4 linked regions of the Arabidopsis thaliana genome follow. The protein of the gene in region 1 interacts with the protein of each later gene in a pairwise test. Each region holds a gene or a part of one and is shown in the gene's direction. Other genes may lie near its edges.

Region 1 (4,001 bases):
ATTATCGTGTATTTTATAAACTCTCTCTTTTTGTGTGTCGATTCTTTTTTAGTGAAGGGAAAAATGGGTTTAAAAAATCCTCATTTTCTCTAAAAACATTTACAATAACCATCACCTATATTGGTATTTATATGCATGCATATTGTACGATGGAGGAAGAATCGCAAGTGTATACGTCAACCACGGGAAAGATTTGATCGATGTTGACCGGAGGAGCCGCCGTGACTAGAGACATTTATTGGTGACTGGTCAGTTTGTCACCAATAAGATATATAGAGGAAATGAGTGATTCTAGTAGTAGTATCTTCTTGATGGGCTTGGTTGGTAGGTGTTTACTTGTACAACACATGATATATATTTTGATTTTTACTCTCTTTTTAACTGTAGGGGGAAATGCCAAAATGTGTAAAAAAATCCTCATTTTTTTCTAAAATCATCACCTATATTTATAGATTTTTTACAAAATTCAAAAGATAAAATACCCCCTCGATAACAAACCAACCTTAAAAACCAAACAAAGCGTTTGTTTATATATTTTGGTTGTTACTTGTTAGCATTCAATATTAATTATTGTTTACTTTTCGAAGGTATGAGGATTAGAAGATTAGATGTTTATCTCTTTTCTTAGTTTTAGACTTGATCTATATCCTTGGATGGTGTTATAAAAGGTATCGAACTCTTTCACGTATCATTAGCTTTTGACTAAAATATTGTTGAAGAGTTCTATTTTTTAGTTCAAAGGCCTATGAAAGGAGGATTTTTAATTCTAAAGAGTTTTGGTATGAAAAAACTCTTAAATCATATTATCGTTATCGATCATTGTTGATCTTGACAAAATATAAATTTGTTGCTGAAATAATTTGGAGAATTTCTTGTTATGATTGTTTATAGTTTCCGTTCATCATCAACTTTAAACTTTTAATTGTACGAGAAACTTTCAAAGTAATTTTTGGATTCACATCACCAAAAAAATTAACAGAACAGAGTTAACCACGTTAATATCACTTTAGTTTTTTTACAAATAATGATTTGAGTATAATTTGATCGTAATTTGTAACCCCATTTCATCATGGAAACAACAATAAAGTTCACTCATACATTTCGTTTTCCCTGTCGTACCTTGACACAGAAACATAGTCCACAGATTTTACTACTAATACTATTTCGAAGACGTACGAGGTTTTACGGAGGGAGATTTGCGAAAATTCACCTTTCTTGTTTAGCTTTTTTGAACATGAGTTTTTGATTAAACTTAACTATATGGAAAGTCTTGTGGAGCAGTTGAAATCCATCAAGAAGGATAAGTTTTCTTGTAATGATAAGTGGTTAACCCTTAAGCTTCAAATCAACAAAAACTTTGAGGTAACGCTTGTTGATTACGAGATCCTGAACAAGATATTTTGGGATATATAATTGTGAGCGATTGATCGATAGTAAGATTTCGGATATATATTGGGACTTTATCTGAAAACACTAAACAATAAGTCGTAAATTGGGAGTACGTAAAAACATTAAGGGTCTAAATGAAATAAAACCTATAATATAACTAGGTTTAGTGACGTGGCATGCACACGTAGATTAAGCAATGCCTTGGCAACACGTATGCAAAAACCCATATGTGTGCACCTGTGAAGTGTTCCAATAACAATTCAAAAGCTCCCTGAGCAAGTGAGAAGAGACCACACTGAGAAGAAAAATCCTTCAGGTTATCGAAAATTCCCGGATTTTACTCTTTGGGCGGTGGCCGATTTCTTACGCGCTCTTTTTGTGGCGACTGTTGTATACGCGCGAGCCTTCATGGACACGAAGGCGGTTGGAGTTTCTAAGGATACGGCGGCGTCGATGGAAGCGTCGACGGTGTTTCCTGGGTTTAAATTCTCGCCGACGGATGTGGAGTTGATTTCGTATTACCTGAAGCGGAAGATGGATGGCTTGGAGAGGTCCGTTGAGGTTATACCGGACCTTGAGATTTACAATTTCGAGCCTTGGGATTTACCCGGTTTGTCTTCGAATTCGAACCAATTGATTCTTTTGTGTCTTTCTTCTACTTGGAATTTGATTTTGTTGTTCTTCAGGCTTCAGGAGAGATCTCTATTTTGGGTGCCTAAGATATAAAGTTTCTATTTTTTGGCTCTTGGATTGGAATTGACAATTTTTTTTGTGTGTTTGTTCTTTGCAGATAAGTCGATTGTGAAATCTGATAGCGAGTGGTTCTTCTTCTGTGCGCGTGGGAAAAAGTATCCACATGGTTCACAGAACAGGAGAGCAACGAAGATGGGATACTGGAAAGCAACTGGGAAAGAGCGTGATGTGAAGTCTGGTTCTGAGGTCATTGGAACAAAGAGGACGCTTGTTTTCCATATTGGTCGTGCACCAAAAGGCGAAAGAACTGACTGGATTATGCACGAGTACTGCGTGAAAGGAGTATCTCTGGTAAAACTGTTCTCGAGAGTTTGTTTTTTCTTATAGATTAATTGTTAACCATTACATAAGAGGTGGTGACTTTGGCTACTTTTTGAGTCTCTAAGAGGAATACAGTAAAATTTTAGGAGTTTTGTCTTTGGCTTGAGTTGATTGATTATGTTTATGTAAATTCTAGGATGATGCTATGGTTGTTTGCCGGGTTAGGAGGAACAAAGAATACAATAGTGGTACAAGTCAGAAGGCACCAAAGCCAAATTCATCAGCCGAGAAGCATGCGAAAGTCCAAAATGGCGCTACGAGTTCAGGGAGCCCGTCTGATTGGGACAACTTGGTTGATTTTTACCTAGCAGGTGAATCAGGGGAGAAACTACTCGCTGAGATGGCAGAGTCATCAGAAAATCTACAGGTTTTGTCACCTGGCTTCTAATTGTTGTATGATGGTTCTTGATTGTTGTCGTTCTTCTTAATGAATGTTATGTGTGTGTGGTTTAGGTGGATAATGACGAGGATTTCTTTGCGGATATCCTAAGAGACGAAATCATCAATCTCGATGAAGCGGTGATGACAGGGAACACACCAAACGAAGTGCCAACACTAGAATCAGCATCAATGGAGATAAGGGTACTTCCTTTACCAAACATGATAGACAAACAAATGTCATCACTGTTAGAGGAAAGACCATCACAGAAGAAGAAAGGAAAAGACGCCACGGAATCATTGTCGAGCTGCTTCGTGGGTTTATACTCGATCAAATCAGTGAACAAGGCACGATGGGATGTTATTATAGGTGTAGTGGCTCTGATAGCAATGTTGTTTTATCTAGAATAAGAGGCTTATGGAAGTAGCGAAAAACAGTGTCCTAGCTATGTTTGTATCATCTTTTCTCGGACATTGACAAGGATTATATGATGTTTTTGTGTAAACGGTTTATGTTTTACACTTCTACTTCAAATCTGTGCAACCAAATCAAAACCTGAAATATCAAGCACAGAAGAACTAGTGGATATAGTTTTTACACTTCAAGGCTTATTAAGTGGTGTGTTTAATGAGAATCAGAGAATGGATAAATGATGGGGGCAAATTAGTAAATGACTATTTTCCAAATCCGTACTGTTTATCTTTCTCGTCCAGATGGTTGTTGCACTAAGATTTGTAGAATTTTCTCGCCGCCATTAAACCTCTGCTTTTGTTTCTTTCTCTCTTCTTCTATACGAGAACCCATTTTGGAGAAGTCAAGTTTCCTCAATACTCCGTCAAGCCGATTTTATTGATCTCGATCAGTTTCGTCAATTTTTCCGGTTTAAGAAACCCTAGAAAAGCTGATGATTCGATAATGAAGTTTGATTTCACTGTGATAAATCGATCTGTAAGTTGGAGATACTTAATCGTCTTCGTTATATCTTCTACGATGCTTCAATTTTGCTTTGTTGTGCTGAGGAAATTCAGTTTTTCTGTAGTATGTGTTATTTGCTTATCCTTAGTAAGTTAGTTACATATGAAGGAGATTCGTATTGAAACCCTAGGTCATTGATTTGATGGAGTTGCTTTTTATAGTATCAGCTTACACTGTTTACATT
Region 2 (3,459 bases), on another chromosome or scaffold:
CGAAAAGATTCGGAACCTATTGGCCGGCAAAAAAGTTATCCAAATGAACAAAAAGAAGAATTACACGTGTCAAGTTCACGAGAAACGACATAATACGTGAACATGAAAATGACAGACAATAAACCAATGAAAATATGACACGTATATTGGTTTCCTATTATTTAACCGTATTTAGCTCATTGTCGCTGTCACTAAAAAGGCTCCTTGTTTTTATCTTGAAGCAGTTAATAATTTACGCCAAAGTCGTCTTTTGCGTTTAAGTTCGCATGCCTAGCTAGTGCCAAAGGTGATCCTATCCGATAAGCTTTGTTTTGGGTAAATTTTTATCTGATAAGGTTACTGTAATTATCGTCAATTACCGCTCTTTTAAGTACTATATTATCACTTAACATTTTTTAAAAAATATGATTGCAGAAAATGTTATATATAAACTAAATCCCTATTTTATCATAACGTCAATTTCAGACAATTAATGAGATATGTAAGCATAAACCATATTCATATTGAACAAGAAAACCTCCGGTTACAATTATATGTGTTGTTTAAAATGGTTACAAAATCGGAAGATTGTTCGTTATGAAAACCTTAAACCATAATTAATACATATGTTAGAAGATAATTAGATAAGTAATCATTTAACTAGATTTATCTAAAAAGTGATTATGTTGTTTTTGTTTGAGAAAACCAAGTAAAGGTGAGTCTTTTCTCCTTTGGGAAAAACAAAAGTAGAATTCAAAAAAGAAAGAAATAGAATTCACTAATTATATAGTAATCCATTAATATTACTGGTTAGAAAGCGTAATTAGCGGCGGTGGTTATCAAAAGTGACTTCCACCATATGTTTCGAAAGCTTGAGTTTCACGAAGAAGATGGAGGAGGGGCAACTTTAGACTAGTGGAGATGAATCGAATGATGATTTATTGTAGATTCTTTGTGGTATCTCATCTTTCCTTCGTATGAGGTGTGATTCACAACAAATACAATTTAACAAAAACTAGTTTGTCTACATTCGGTATGATATAATTAAGGACTTTGTCTCAAACAGATTAAAGTTCTTGTTTCATGATTTTAGATTGTGGATGCCTTGTACCAATCTTCTTGTAGAAATGCCTTCTCCTCCTAGAAGAGAAATTACACCTTACGTGTCGTACATGACTACATGGAACAGTCACTTTGCAGATAGGATATGGTGTTAGACATTTAGCTTGATACAATTAATTAATGTTTAACAACAAGGTTTAAAGGCAACGAGAGCTATATCTAATAAGATGTGGTCTAAGACATATGAGACCTGATACATGGAGAATCACTCATTTATAAATTTCTGGTATATTAACGACATTTTGTGTCTAAAAAATTAGCTATTATAATGAATATGGTCTAAAATTGAATTTAAATTAACAAAACTATCTATAAAGTTTGAAACGATCTTACCTAATCAAAACAAATAATTATCTAAGCAATCTGTTTTGTTTTGTTCGGATTATATAGGTCCCCAAAACGTCATACAATAAAACTTGCTTAAATATTTTGTTTTTTTGTTACATTAAAAAATTAGTATCTTGTTGTGTTTTTGTTTGGTTTGAAAAGCTGAAAATGTGTGAAGGAGAAGAAGGAAGCTATAAAAAAGAGTTTAGGTACAAAAGTAAAAAGTTATTATGTCGGTGGGTTCATTAAAAGAAACCAAAAAACATAAACAAGTAATTTTGTTTTGGCATAACGAAGCATCTTCTTCTTCTTCCTTGTATTTATTATCCATTTCCAGAGATTCTCCCTTGTGAGATAACAACGAAGAACGAAAGAGAGAGAGAGAGAGAGAGATATGATGGACGGCGTTGAAGGCGGCACGGCGATGTACGGTGGTCTCGAGACGGTGCAATACGTACGGACGCATCATCAACATCTGTGCAGAGAAAACCAGTGTACCTCTGCTCTTGTCAAACACATCAAAGCTCCTCTTCATCTCGTAAGCTTCTCCAATCTACCACTAATTTCACCCTTTTCGTACCATTTTCTCCATGATCCGTCAATTTTGATCCCAACCATCGATTTAGGGTTTTTTCCCCCAAATCTCTGTTTAACGATTGATTATAATTGATTTTTTTTAGGTTTGGTCACTTGTACGGAGATTTGATCAGCCGCAGAAATACAAACCGTTTGTGAGCAGATGTACAGTAATCGGTGATCCTGAAATCGGCAGTCTTAGAGAAGTCAATGTTAAATCTGGTCTTCCTGCAACAACATCTACTGAGAGATTAGAACTTCTTGATGATGAAGAACACATCCTCGGTATCAAAATCATCGGTGGTGATCACAGACTTAAGGTACAGCGAGAGAAATCAAATCTCATTGATGTTTGTTTATATGCAGATTCTCATTGATTGTTTGTTTGCAGAATTACTCGTCGATTTTGACGGTTCATCCGGAGATAATCGAGGGAAGAGCAGGAACGATGGTGATTGAATCGTTTGTAGTTGATGTTCCTCAAGGTAACACAAAGGATGAGACTTGCTACTTTGTTGAAGCACTTATCAGATGTAATCTCAAGTCACTAGCAGATGTTTCTGAAAGATTGGCTTCTCAGGACATTACTCAGTGAACTACATAATCAATGAACAAGGGCATTGAAGTGAAGTATCAATTCCAGTTTGTGATATAATCAATATTCTTCAGGATTTTTTTGGTTTGGCCTAGATATATATATAGATATCTATCCTCGGTAATGACCAGTCTAAAAAGATGTACATATTGTCCCAATGGTGAAGTTTTGATGTAAGATATCTCCTGGTGGTTTGTTATTTGTAGATATTTTTGTAAACAATGTAAATGTGAATGGTTTATGATGTATAATATATAGTTCACAAAAGATGTTTCTGTAGACTTCAGATTCCACTTCTCTATTGAACAGAACCTATGATTGGATGCTGAGAACTTGTAAAGAATCTGAGGCAGAAAGTTGAAAAACTGTGTCAATTTCATTAACTTGAAAAGATGAGCATAAATTGGGAGAGAGAGAGAGAGACAAAGATTTTGAATTGAGGTTTAACGGTAAAACACACAAAACCTATTCCCCTCTGTTTCCAATTTTCATCTAAACAAACAGGTACATATTTGAATGTAATATTGTATACAGACCAGGGGTAAAACAGGAACTAAAGAAGGCTAACAATCGAGTCGAACCCTCTATGTGAAGCCACAGGTTTAGTGCAAATTGTAATAAGTTGTTCAGAGAGACTCTTGACTGAAACAAATTGTGAAGCAGATTCGATTTTAAAATCAAAATTTGAGTGTCGAGCGGGAAAGTAAAAGTTCCGCTCCAATCTTCTAATCTTTTCGTATCTAGCGGGAAATTTCTCAGCAGGTGACTTTCATAATCGCAGTTTTCGTCGATTCTCTTTTCCGATTTTACGATTCCTCTCTCTCTCTCATGGTGCGATTTCTCCAGCAGTAAAAATCAAT
Region 3 (6,794 bases), on another chromosome or scaffold:
TACTGACAGTCTGACAGAAGTAACCAATACAAAAAGATAAAAAGGTGATATGTACTATATACCCAAAACCTAATGAGCCTTGTTATTAGCAACAAAACTCAGGTCATATAGTAGTATTTAAACAAGTGAAATGGTAAAATCGTATAGAAAGGAATTTGGCAACCTATTAATTAATGGATCATTAAATATTTAGAAGCACACGAGCACTTAAATAACTCGATTTTTGATTAAATGCTGAAATGCTGGTCTTCTTTGTGGATCAACGTGCAGAGTTTGTCCTATGCCATTTGTTACTCCAGATTAATAAATATTGACAACTTCTATTAGTATTGAAATTTGAGTTGTGGCAGCTGTTTTTAGTTGTATTGGTTTTCTCGGTGTTTGTTTCCAACAACTAGTACCAAATCATCATGTCCAGTTTTTTTATTATTACTAGTAGTATTTTCTTTCGTCGACCTATATTATTGTTTCAAGTTTTGTAACCACATAATCTAATTAGCACAGTAATGTAGTCATCAAATAACAATTCGTCTTGCTCGAGTCCTGAATCCAATACCCTGATCTAAACCATTTTCTATGGGAGTATGGGAATGGGACTCACATTTTCATGTGGGTGTTTTTGTATGTTGACTGCTTCACGCGGTTCGTATCGTTCTACTAAATTATTGGTAATTGTTCGGATATATAACATTTATGAAAACCATTTGCACTTTCACATGACTCGCATTAATGCCACTTTCCTCATTTTCCATAGTTCACATAAGAACAACATAGTACATATACTATAAACTATGTGATTGATTACTATTTTGAAGAAAATAAAGCTTGCATACATACAGGTTTCTGTATTCACATTTAGATTTTCGGATTCACAAGCTCGAAGTATTCATATTTGTATTTTCAAGTTATTTTCTCTGTGTTATACTCGGAAACCACATTGGCCTATCTAATTAACAAAACATATGATATGCTTAAATGGCATTAAATGCTAATATGAAAAACATGTCCTATGGATTATTGGTAAGTGCGAGATTTAATGAAAGTTACAATGCTTGATTTCTTAAAGGTTACAATTTCGTACTATTGAAGACAAACTATATTTGCAAGAGAAGAAATTAGCTACCAAAATTAATACAGTATAGTATTCCCTCTTCTGTCACTATCTGTTCACTGCTTCTGCAAACCAATATTAAAACAAGTTGACCTATTTGCAACTATCTGTCTCCAATTATGTTTCAATTTTTGTGTATTTTGGATTTTCTTTGCTCGGCCTTTTTCCTTATATGGATTCTGAATGCTAGGAAAAAACAGAATAGAGTGAATTGGTTCTCACATGCATAGAAGAATTTTCAAGAGAAACATATTTGCTCAACTAACAACTACCAACCCATCACCAAATTTTCGTTTCATTTGTTGTACAAATTATAGACCCAAAAATGTTCATCCACAATCGATTGAGGTACCTCATGTACACCTATATTAAACATACAACATAATTCCAAAATGGTTTGGATCCGGTCTGGTTTTTTACTTTGAGGCAAATAACATTAGATTATTTAAGATTGAAAGCTCACAACTAGCCTTCTTTTAGGGCAAAGTACACGTAACCAATTTTTTAATTTTCATATCGAACTTAACAAATTGTAACCATTTGCAAAAATGAAGCAAACAAAAAGTACAAAACAGATTACATGGACTATTATATAATTGGAAGCCCGTTTGGCCTTAAAGCCCGTTAAAAAAACATATGTGTATTTTTTAGCAATATGTCTGATAAAAAAATTTAAAAACTAATCTTGTTTAATTCAGTAAGACATTTACTAGACTTTTCACAATTCAACACAGTTGTTGTTGGTTGAGCTACCCAGCCAGTATCAAGAGAGGAAGGTAGAGAGGAGTGAGAGAGAGCTTTGGGATCGATTTCATGTCGTAGATCTTTCACTCTGGGTTTGCGTTCCACAAAATCCTAATTCGCGGAACTCTGGATTTGATCGGCGATGGCGGTAGGCGATCAGACGGAGCAGAATTACTTGCCGAAGAAGAAGAAATCCGAAACGGAAGATGATAAGAGGTTCATGATTGTTTTATCTTCTTTGTAATCTATGTTTGAATCAGTTGATTTTATTTTGTTGTTGCTGGGAGTAGTGAGTAGATCATTAATTTGAGAAATTGAATGTGGAATAGGAGGAAGAAAATTGTTCCCGGGAGCTTGTTGAAAGCTGTGGTGCGACCTGGAGGAGGTGATTCGAGCCCCGTTGATGGTGATCAGGTTAATAATTTTGGTTTTGTTTTTGCTTCTCGTGGTCAATTTTGGTTGTTTATGAGTGTTTTTTCGTCAGGTTATTTATCACTGCACTGTACGGACACTGGATGGTGTAGTTGTGGAATCTACGAGGTCAGAATCTGGAGGTGAGATTGATTGATGAAACATTTCTCAGTAGGGTGTTGCTTTTAGCTTTTTGTTAGGGGCATCGTTGAATGTGTTGTTTGATGTTCCTTCAGGGAGAGGTGTACCGATCAGAGATGTCTTGGGAAACAGCAAAATGATTCTTGGATTGCTCGAAGGAATTCCCACGATGCACAAGGGTGAAATTGCAATGGTAACTCTAAAAACTCTTTAAAGATCAGTGTCGCCTCAATGATAACGTTTGTGTCTCTTTACTCGGCTGCGTAGTTTGGGTTCTGAAGAGGGTCTTGTTGATTTACCTCAAGTTCAATGAGTCGATTCGCCAAATCTTCCATTAGCTATTTCAACTTACTTTCTTGATTCTCAACGGCTGAAAAGTCTTTATCTTTTTCCTTTTTTCAGTTCAAGATGAAACCTGAAATGCACTATGCAGAGATTGATTGTCCAGTCTCAGCTCCAGAAAATTTTCCAAAAGATGATGAGCTTCATTTTGAGATTGAGTTGTTGGATTTTTCTAAAGCCAAGGCGAGATCTCATCACTAACCAAGATAACAGTGCATTAGTTAGCCGAAAGACTCTGAAATTTTGCATTTCATCTGTTTTGACTTATGCTTTCCTTTCCTTTGTGTTAATTTCCAGATTGCAAGTGATGATCTGGGGGTCATCAAGAAGGTAGGACCTGATTTTCCATATATGTAGACATATCAAATGGGTCAGGGATGATGTATTTCTTGTTCGTACTGATGGCTCAAGCATTGCTTTCCTTTTCTATGAAAGATTCTAAATGAAGGTGAGGGCTGGGAATCTCCCAGAGAACCCTATGAAGTGAAAGCCAGGTAATTTATTCTTGATCATTCCTGCATTTTGGGTCAAAATATATTTAACCTTGTTTTTCCATTTGGGGCAACGTTGAGTGAAGTTTTAATGCATTTCTGTGGTGTATATTAGAATATCTGCTAAATCCGGTGATGGACACGTGATCTTCTCTCACACAGAAGAACCTTATTTCTTCACATTTGGAAAATCTGAGGTAATTGTTAAGTTTATGGGGCAGTTTTTACTCTCTGTCCATGCAAATCCATTCTAGTGGAATACATTTCTGACTATTGCTCGTCAATTAGGCAGGTGCCTAAAGGTCTTGAAATCGGAATTGGAACCATGGCTCGGAAGGAGAAGGCAGTGATATATGTTCGCAAGCAGTACTTGACTGAATCTCCTTTGTTGCATATAGATCAAGACCTTGAGGAAGTTCATTTTGAGGTTGAACTGGTACATTTCATTCAGGTAAGAAAGACAAATGCAATGCAATAAGAAAACAGTATTTTGTGCATTTAAGAATTGGGAAACTGAGCGACTGACATTCAAGTTCTCGCTTTGAAGGTGCGGGACATGCTTGGAGATGGACGTCTCATAAAACGTCGAATTCGAGATGGAAGAGGTATGTTTCACACTTTCTTTTCAACTGTCTCTTATCTGTTTCAACATGGTGCGGGTTTTTGTTCTTATATATCTTGCTGGGGCATCTGCTAGATTCCAGCTCTTGTTTATAGTTTATCCGCTAGACTATTCTGATCTACAACGTTTGACCAACTTATTAGGCGAGTTTCCAATGGATTGTCCTCTCCAAGATAGTCGTTTAAGCGTTCACTACAAGGGCATGCTTCTCAATGAAGAGAAGACTGTCTTCTATGATAGCAAGATTGACAATAATGATCAACCGTTGGAGTTCAGTTCAGGAGAAGGACTGGTCAGTTACTCCAACGTTTATAGGAAAACCTAGTGGAGTTCTTTAGACGTTTTAGTTGAAATATATCTCTACGCACGGACTGGTTAAGATTATTCTGTCGTATTTGCAGGTCCCTGAAGGGTTTGAGATGTGTACTCGTTTGATGCTACCTGGGGAGATTGCTCTTGTTACATGCCCCCCTGATTATGCATATGACAAATTTCCGAGGTTATACTCTTAACTGTGTAAATAACACTAACACGATAGTGTATAAACTGTTGTCGGAGAAATAAACGCATTTCATGTTTTCTTTTCTGATAGACCACCTGGCGTGTCTGAAGGTGCACATGTTCAGTGGGAGATTGAACTCCTTGGTTTCGAAACGCCAAGAGTAAGTTGGTCTAGTGTTGATACTTACCATGGAAATTGTAAACAGCTTCCGTTTCTTATAAGTCTAGAGATTCTGTCTCAGGACTGGACTGGCTTGAACTTCCAGAGCATCATGGACGAGGCAGATAAAATCAGAAGCACGGTATGGATAAAATATTCTGCTACCATTTATAATTTGACCTATAGTCCTAAATTTTTATCACTTCAGAATTTGCTATTAGCTAATCTTTTCTGCAATCAGGTCACACCAGATCTATTAATTTATGGTTCTTCTCTCCTTTTGGTTATACTATGAACTTCAGGGTAATAGGCTTTTCAAAGAAGGAAAATTTGAGCTCGCAAAAGCAAAGTACGAAAAGGTAATAGAAGTCATGTGATAACCAATTCCAGTATTAGCATTTGTTTCATTGTGTCTGAGCGGTAAATCCAAAACCAGGTGCTCCGGGAATTTAATCATGTTAACCCACAAGATGAAGATGAAGGAAAAATATTTGGTGACACAAGGGTGAGTTCCATCTTCTCATTACGTTTGTAGTTGCAGATACGTCTAGATTTGATAATATTAGAAGTATTAAGTACTAACTAGCTCTCGTATCCTTGCTCTGCTGATATTTGAAGAATATGTTACATCTGAATGTTGCGGCTTGCTTGCTTAAAATGGGAGAGTGGAGGAAGTCTATAGAGACATGCAATAAGGTAGCATTCAATAAACAATTCTCTTAAGAAGGCTTGATTCTGGAATAAGAGGTTGGGATTTCTGAGACCTTTTGTGCACCAATTTCCAAATAGGTTCTAGAAGCAAAGCCTGGTCATGTGAAAGGTCTATACCGCCGCGGAATGGCTTACATTGCAGGTGGAGAGTATGATGACGCTAGAAATGACTTCAATATGGTATATTATGCTAAACCTGCATATCATTATCTAGTGAATAGATTCAGAAATCTGCTTACTCACTGACTTATGTGTCTGTGTTTTAGATGATCAAAGTGGATAAATCATCAGAAGCTGATGCGACCGCTGCTCTATTGAAACTGAAGCAGAAGGAACAGGTCAGTGTTTGAAAACTATCTCAACCAAATGTCCACCCGAATCGAGTTCATTAAGGCTACTTATGGTTTGGGCTTGTTTTGCCAATTTTGTTACTTAATATAAGATCTCTGAGTTGTTTTCTTTTGAGCTCACAGGAAGCGGAGAGCAAGGCTAGAAAACAGTTCAAAGGATTATTCGACAAGAGACCGGGGGAGATAACCGAAGTTGGTTCAGAAATAAGAGAGGAGTCTAAAACTATAGAAGAAGTAGATGAGACAAAGGATAATGATGATGATGAAACACTGGAAGAAGAAGGAGCTACGACAGTGAGCACGGAAAGGAAGAGGAAATGGTCGGAGAAAGCCTGGCCGTTTCTGAAGAACGTGATGCTCCAAATCGGAATCCAGCTTGGTGTTGTTCTGATAGGGATTTTGATTTTCCAGTTTGTGAGCGCCAAATTTACATGAGAGAGATATGAATGAATAAACAAACCAACGGCACTGTAGACTCAGAAAATATAAAACTAATGGATTAAACGTTAAGCTTAATGTATTTTTGTTTGGTTTAGTTTATGAAAGTAGTTGCTCAAAGATGGAATTATTTGCACCACTACACGATCCTCTCTTGCTTCCTCAAGTGATTGGTGTTTGTTTGTTTCATTCAAATTCTACGAGATGATGACAAGAAAGAAGATGTTAATGTAGAACATGACTTAATTGTATAATCTCCCAAAATTTATTCATTAGTCATCTTTTTATCCTATAGGTAATAGGATTATCCTACTGTATAGATTGTTGTAATGATTAGTGTTAGGTTTTTGTTGAAAAACAGTATCTACTTTTCTATTTTTTCTACTTTTAGTATAAGATGTTTTGGGAAAACGAATTATTTTACAAAGAAAATGTTTTGTACATATGCAAAATATGTATATAAATATGCTTTAACGAATTTTATGTTGTAGGAAATGTGTGATTATATAAATCAACTTTAGATAACACAGAGTAATTAATCCCACCCACCAATCATCCACTCGGCTGAATAAAATGTCGCCACTTTTAAAAACAAAAAGAAAGATTAAACCGTTTTCTCCGTGTGGAACTCGCGTTTTATCGTACACCCAAAACGTTGCTTAAATTGATTTTGCAAAACGCTGATTTTGCTTCTTATCGGAGATTTTTTTGGGGGCAACGGAGAAATTTGTTTTAGGGCTTTTTGCTTATCATCGTCGTCTCAGATCCTGCT
Region 4 (4,061 bases), on another chromosome or scaffold:
CCCAGAGCACCCTGTTGCCCAGCCTGTTCACAGGCTTTGAAACCGGACTGGACCCATGTATCTATATCCTGTAACATCTGGTTTGCTTAATGTGTACATATATGTGAACATAGTGTAGTTCGGTATAGTACCTTCTTTAACCAATTGAATGAACCGATCATATTCTAATCCGGATGCCAAATAAACTAAAGATTGTTGTAAATGAAAGACTTGGGACTTGACTCGCTACATCACTGATTACGCGTAAATGTCTACAGAGAGTTTACTAAGTTGAAAGAAAACTACTTCCTAACATACAGAGACATCGCCATTAATGGCCTTAACTTAAGAGTCAAAAAAACATTTGATGGGCCTACCCTTAATTAAAAGCCCAATTCGATATTCGAATCGAACCCACCGGCCTAACTAAACTGTTCAGTGTCCCCAAATCTTTTTGCAACTTCTTTCTTCTTCATATTCTTCTCACCGTGAAGGCGTCGTCACCGCCGATGTTATTATCTCCGGCGATGTTTTCTGATCATCACTGCTTTACTCTTACTGCGAGGTTGGTTATTTTCAAATCTTCTTCTCTCCGTTCTTTCTTTCGAAGTCAGAAACTTTGCCGCCATTTTCAGTAAAAGGGTTGATTCTACATTCCCTAGAATCATCTAATAACTAGGGTTTTCATTAGGTTACGTATTGGTTAAAATTAGTTGAAATCATGTTTCTTATTTCTCTTTTCGAACTAAATTTGGTAATCAGATCTCTAGAGTGTATGATTTGTCATAACATCTAATCGAAATTAGAATCCGTATATGTTTCATTCAGAGAATAAATCCTGACTTGTTAATTTGATATAGAATGTCAGATTCTGATGAAGCTAAAACGTCGGAGGAAGAATCTCAACTTGCTGAGCAAGAAACAGAGACTCAAGAAGGTGAAATGACTAAAAACTTAAAGAAAAGAGATCTTGATGCAGTAGAAGATGAAGATTCGAATAACGAAAGCTCCAGATTAGAGAAACTAGAGAAGAAGATAAAAAAAGAAACAGCGAGGAAGCTTGAAACTGACTTTGTGCTAACAGGGGAAGAGGATGATGATGCATTGCCCTTAGCCTGTTCCATTTGCCAAAACCCATTCTTGGATCCTGTTGTCACCAACTGCAACCATTACTTCTGCGACAAGTGTGCTCTAAAGGTAATCTTTTCCTTACAACAAGTTTCGTAATTTCTGAAAACACACTCAAAACAGATTTTCCTTGTTATTTTTTTTCATAATGCAGCATCACACTGAGAACGATACTTGTTTTGTGTGTAACGAGCCAACTCTAGGGCTTTTCGACACAGCCGTGGAGATCAAGGAAAGAATAGAGGAAGAACGTGAGAAAGCCAGAGGTTTGTTAAAAACGCAAAACTCTCTGTTTTGACACCAAAAACCTACTCTTACAAAACTCGCTCGGTGATGTCTCTTTGTAGCCATGGTAAAGGAAGTGACAGCAATGTTAGAAAAGGCATCGACAATGGCGGATGACGCCAAGGGCGTAGCGCAAAAGGTTGTAAAAATGGTGGAGGAGATTGAAACAATGGTGGAAAAAGTGGCGGCTATGGCCACAAAGGCGGGAGAAACGGCGACAATGGCGGCAGATATGGTGAAAGAAGCTGAGGAGACGATGGAAACAGCTAAAGCTAATATGTCCAAAGCCTTTGTGGTAATGAAGTCGGTGAATTGGAACGTGTAAATCGGGTCAAAACAGAGTTTTATTGTGATCTCATGCTGACATCAGCTACAATCTTTATCTAATAAGATAGATTCTCACAAGATTCTTTTATCTATCTACTTTTTAGAGAAGATGAGATCATACTTCGGAGATAGATAGGTGTCGTAAAAATTGGGAAGCTTACTTGGCAGGAGAAGAGAGATATACACACGTGCTTAAAGTCAACAGCTAATCCAAAAAGGTAGACGACAAACCAGTTAAACTAAGACACGTAATCTATCTTAAAGATTTGTCGGTTCATCGTAAATCCGTTGGTGGATTAATATATGTCGGTGTCTTCGTTGATTTTCTTAGCCTAACCAACCAAACATAAATAAAAATCGAAGCTTTACTTTGTTTGCTTCTATTATATCCACTTCCAACAAGATTCCTCAAAAGGAAAGAAGAGAAAGAAGATAAGAGATATCTGGTTGGTCGGAGATGGAGATGATCGGAGGAGACGATACAGATACAGAGATGTACGGAGCTCTAGTGACGGCACAGTCCTTAAGGTTGCGTCATCTTCACCACTGCAGAGAGAACCAGTGTACCTCTGTTCTCGTCAAATACATTCAAGCTCCTGTTCATCTTGTACGCTCTTCTATTCTCTCATCCTCTGTTTTTCTTTCTCTGTTTTCTTTATGTACTTTGTTGAAGTTAATTCTGTCTGATTCACCGGGAAAATGAAATTTCGCCGGATTTAGGGTTCCCGATCTTTCTATTTTTGTTTGCAAATTCTCGTTTTTTTTTTAGTTTACTTGTTGGTCTCTCTTAGTCTTAAAGCTAAGGATAGTGAATATACATATATGATTCAGGTTTGGTCACTGGTGCGGAGATTTGATCAGCCGCAGAAATACAAACCATTTATAAGCAGATGCACTGTAAATGGTGATCCTGAGATCGGTTGTCTCAGAGAAGTAAATGTCAAATCTGGTCTTCCAGCAACCACCAGTACAGAGAGATTGGAACAGCTTGATGATGAAGAACACATCCTCGGTATCAACATCATTGGTGGTGATCATAGACTTAAGGTGACTAAATCCAAATCTCATAGTATTCAGAAACATTAGCGGTTGCTATAATGGTTATTGTTTTCTGCAGAATTACTCTTCGATCTTGACTGTGCATCCGGAGATGATTGATGGAAGGTCAGGAACTATGGTGATGGAGTCTTTTGTTGTGGATGTTCCTCAAGGCAACACCAAAGATGATACATGTTACTTCGTGGAATCACTCATAAAGTGTAACCTCAAATCCTTGGCTTGTGTCTCTGAAAGATTGGCTGCTCAAGACATTACCAATTCCATCGCAACTTTCTGTAACGCTTCCAATGGATACAGAGAGAAGAATCATACAGAAACCAACCTTTGAAGATTTGGCTAGATTAGTCCCACGAACAAACTCAGTGAAGGAAATTTAGATTCATAGAAGCACGTGTGATCATGCTTCTCTGCTGCTTTACTCAGATCAGCTCCATGGGCCATTTTCGAGCATGCAGTCAAAGTTTTGATGTAATTTGTTTTCTGGTGTTTGTTGGACAGTGTCTGTATTTACGCACCATTGTTAGAAAAAACAGAGCTAGGTAGTATCTATATTATCACCAAGAGTCGTTGCAGGAACATTTTCCGTCTCTGAAATGATGAACCCTTGCCCCTTCTTGTAAAACAATCTCACGGTTTCTCAAAACCGACATGTATTTGGCTACGGTGTGGCTATCAGAACATATATTCGTGTTTTTGACCACTCTTATAGGAGCTAAGCCTTTCTTCTTGATAAGGCCATACGTCATTGCTAACTTCTCTGTATGTCCCATAAGCAGCTTCTCTTTCTCTGAATCACTTATGTCTTGGTGTATACAGCTTGTGTCTGGCACATAACCTGATTTCTTCATCTCAGAGACTAATTTGTACAGCTCAAAGTATATATCTCCTTCATCAGGATGTGTTTTTCCCTCCGCATAGAAGATGTGAACCGTTTGATCTATCTGAATCCAGCTCCACAGATCCTGGACTCTCACCCTGTTATTCCTCATTAAGTTCCGTATACGTTCAACATCTTCCCATCTGTTCAAATTACTGTACAAGTTTATCATCATCATGTAGTTAGCTGAATTGTGTGGTTCTAGTACTTGAAGCCTCTTCCAAGCGATTTCCGCGAGTTCTAGGTCTCTATGAATCTTACAAGATGAAAGAAAAGCACCCCAAATAGTTGCATCGGGTTTTAATGACATTGTTTGAATGAAGTCCCAGGCTTCATCAAGATAACCCGATCTCCCGAGCAGATCTACCATGCAAGAGCAGTGTTCGATGGTCGGGATTATACCATA

The links.
Region 2: the proteins of NAC089 (region 1) and RCAR1 interact in binary tests that used the Arabidopsis thaliana proteins (3 or more experiments, as listed by UniProt).
Region 3: the proteins of NAC089 (region 1) and PAS1 interact in binary tests that used the Arabidopsis thaliana proteins (3 or more experiments, as listed by UniProt).
Region 4: the proteins of NAC089 (region 1) and PYL7 interact in binary tests that used the Arabidopsis thaliana proteins (3 or more experiments, as listed by UniProt).

Annotation. Positions count from the first base shown.
Region 1 is NC_003076.8:7,375,295-7,379,295, reverse strand, and holds NAC089 (NAC domain containing protein 89), read left to right. Parts: upstream 1-1,519; 5' UTR 1,520-1,797; coding exon 1,798-1,999; exon of another isoform or gene 2,000-2,179; coding exon 2,180-2,433; intron 2,434-2,599; coding exon 2,600-2,830; intron 2,831-2,916; coding exon 2,917-3,252; 3' UTR 3,253-3,457; downstream 3,458-4,001. UniProt on the Arabidopsis thaliana protein: Transcription factor involved in plant cell division.
Region 2 is NC_003070.9:140,316-143,774, forward strand, and holds RCAR1 (regulatory component of ABA receptor 1), read left to right. Parts: upstream 1-1,554; 5' UTR 1,555-1,822; coding exon 1,823-1,966; intron 1,967-2,108; coding exon 2,109-2,324; intron 2,325-2,395; coding exon 2,396-2,599; 3' UTR 2,600-2,946; downstream 2,947-3,459. Other genes in the region: HTR12 (Histone superfamily protein), read left to right, coding at 3,458-3,459. UniProt on the Arabidopsis thaliana protein: Receptor for abscisic acid (ABA) required for ABA-mediated responses such as stomatal closure and germination inhibition.
Region 3 is NC_003074.8:19,999,045-20,005,838, forward strand, and holds PAS1 (FKBP-type peptidyl-prolyl cis-trans isomerase family protein), read left to right. Parts: upstream 1-1,776; 5' UTR 1,777-1,997; coding exon 1,998-2,071; intron 2,072-2,184; coding exon 2,185-2,269; exon of another isoform or gene 2,270-2,339; coding exon 2,340-2,409; intron 2,410-2,502; coding exon 2,503-2,600; intron 2,601-2,809; coding exon 2,810-2,932; intron 2,933-3,046; coding exon 3,047-3,079; intron 3,080-3,184; coding exon 3,185-3,243; intron 3,244-3,355; coding exon 3,356-3,437; intron 3,438-3,532; coding exon 3,533-3,691; intron 3,692-3,787; coding exon 3,788-3,845; intron 3,846-4,005; coding exon 4,006-4,154; intron 4,155-4,263; coding exon 4,264-4,361; intron 4,362-4,454; coding exon 4,455-4,524; intron 4,525-4,605; coding exon 4,606-4,665; intron 4,666-4,825; coding exon 4,826-4,882; intron 4,883-4,959; coding exon 4,960-5,028; intron 5,029-5,141; coding exon 5,142-5,219; intron 5,220-5,312; coding exon 5,313-5,414; intron 5,415-5,500; coding exon 5,501-5,572; intron 5,573-5,707; and 3 more. UniProt on the Arabidopsis thaliana protein: PPIases accelerate the folding of proteins. It catalyzes the cis-trans isomerization of proline imidic peptide bonds in oligopeptides. Essential protein regulating cell division, adhesion and elongation throughout the plant development and embryogenesis.
Region 4 is NC_003075.7:445,004-449,064, forward strand, and holds PYL7 (PYR1-like 7), read left to right. Parts: upstream 1-1,974; 5' UTR 1,975-2,176; coding exon 2,177-2,326; exon of another isoform or gene 2,327-2,550; coding exon 2,551-2,766; intron 2,767-2,836; coding exon 2,837-3,106; 3' UTR 3,107-3,332; downstream 3,333-4,061. Other genes in the region: AT4G01020 (helicase domain-containing protein / IBR domain-containing protein / zinc finger protein-like protein), read left to right, coding at 1-40; AT4G01023 (RING/U-box superfamily protein), read left to right, coding at 489-544, 840-1,176, 1,262-1,373, 1,455-1,717; AT4G01030 (pentatricopeptide (PPR) repeat-containing protein), read right to left, coding at 3,333-4,061. UniProt on the Arabidopsis thaliana protein: Receptor for abscisic acid (ABA) required for ABA-mediated responses such as stomatal closure and germination inhibition. Inhibits the activity of group-A protein phosphatases type 2C (PP2Cs) when activated by ABA.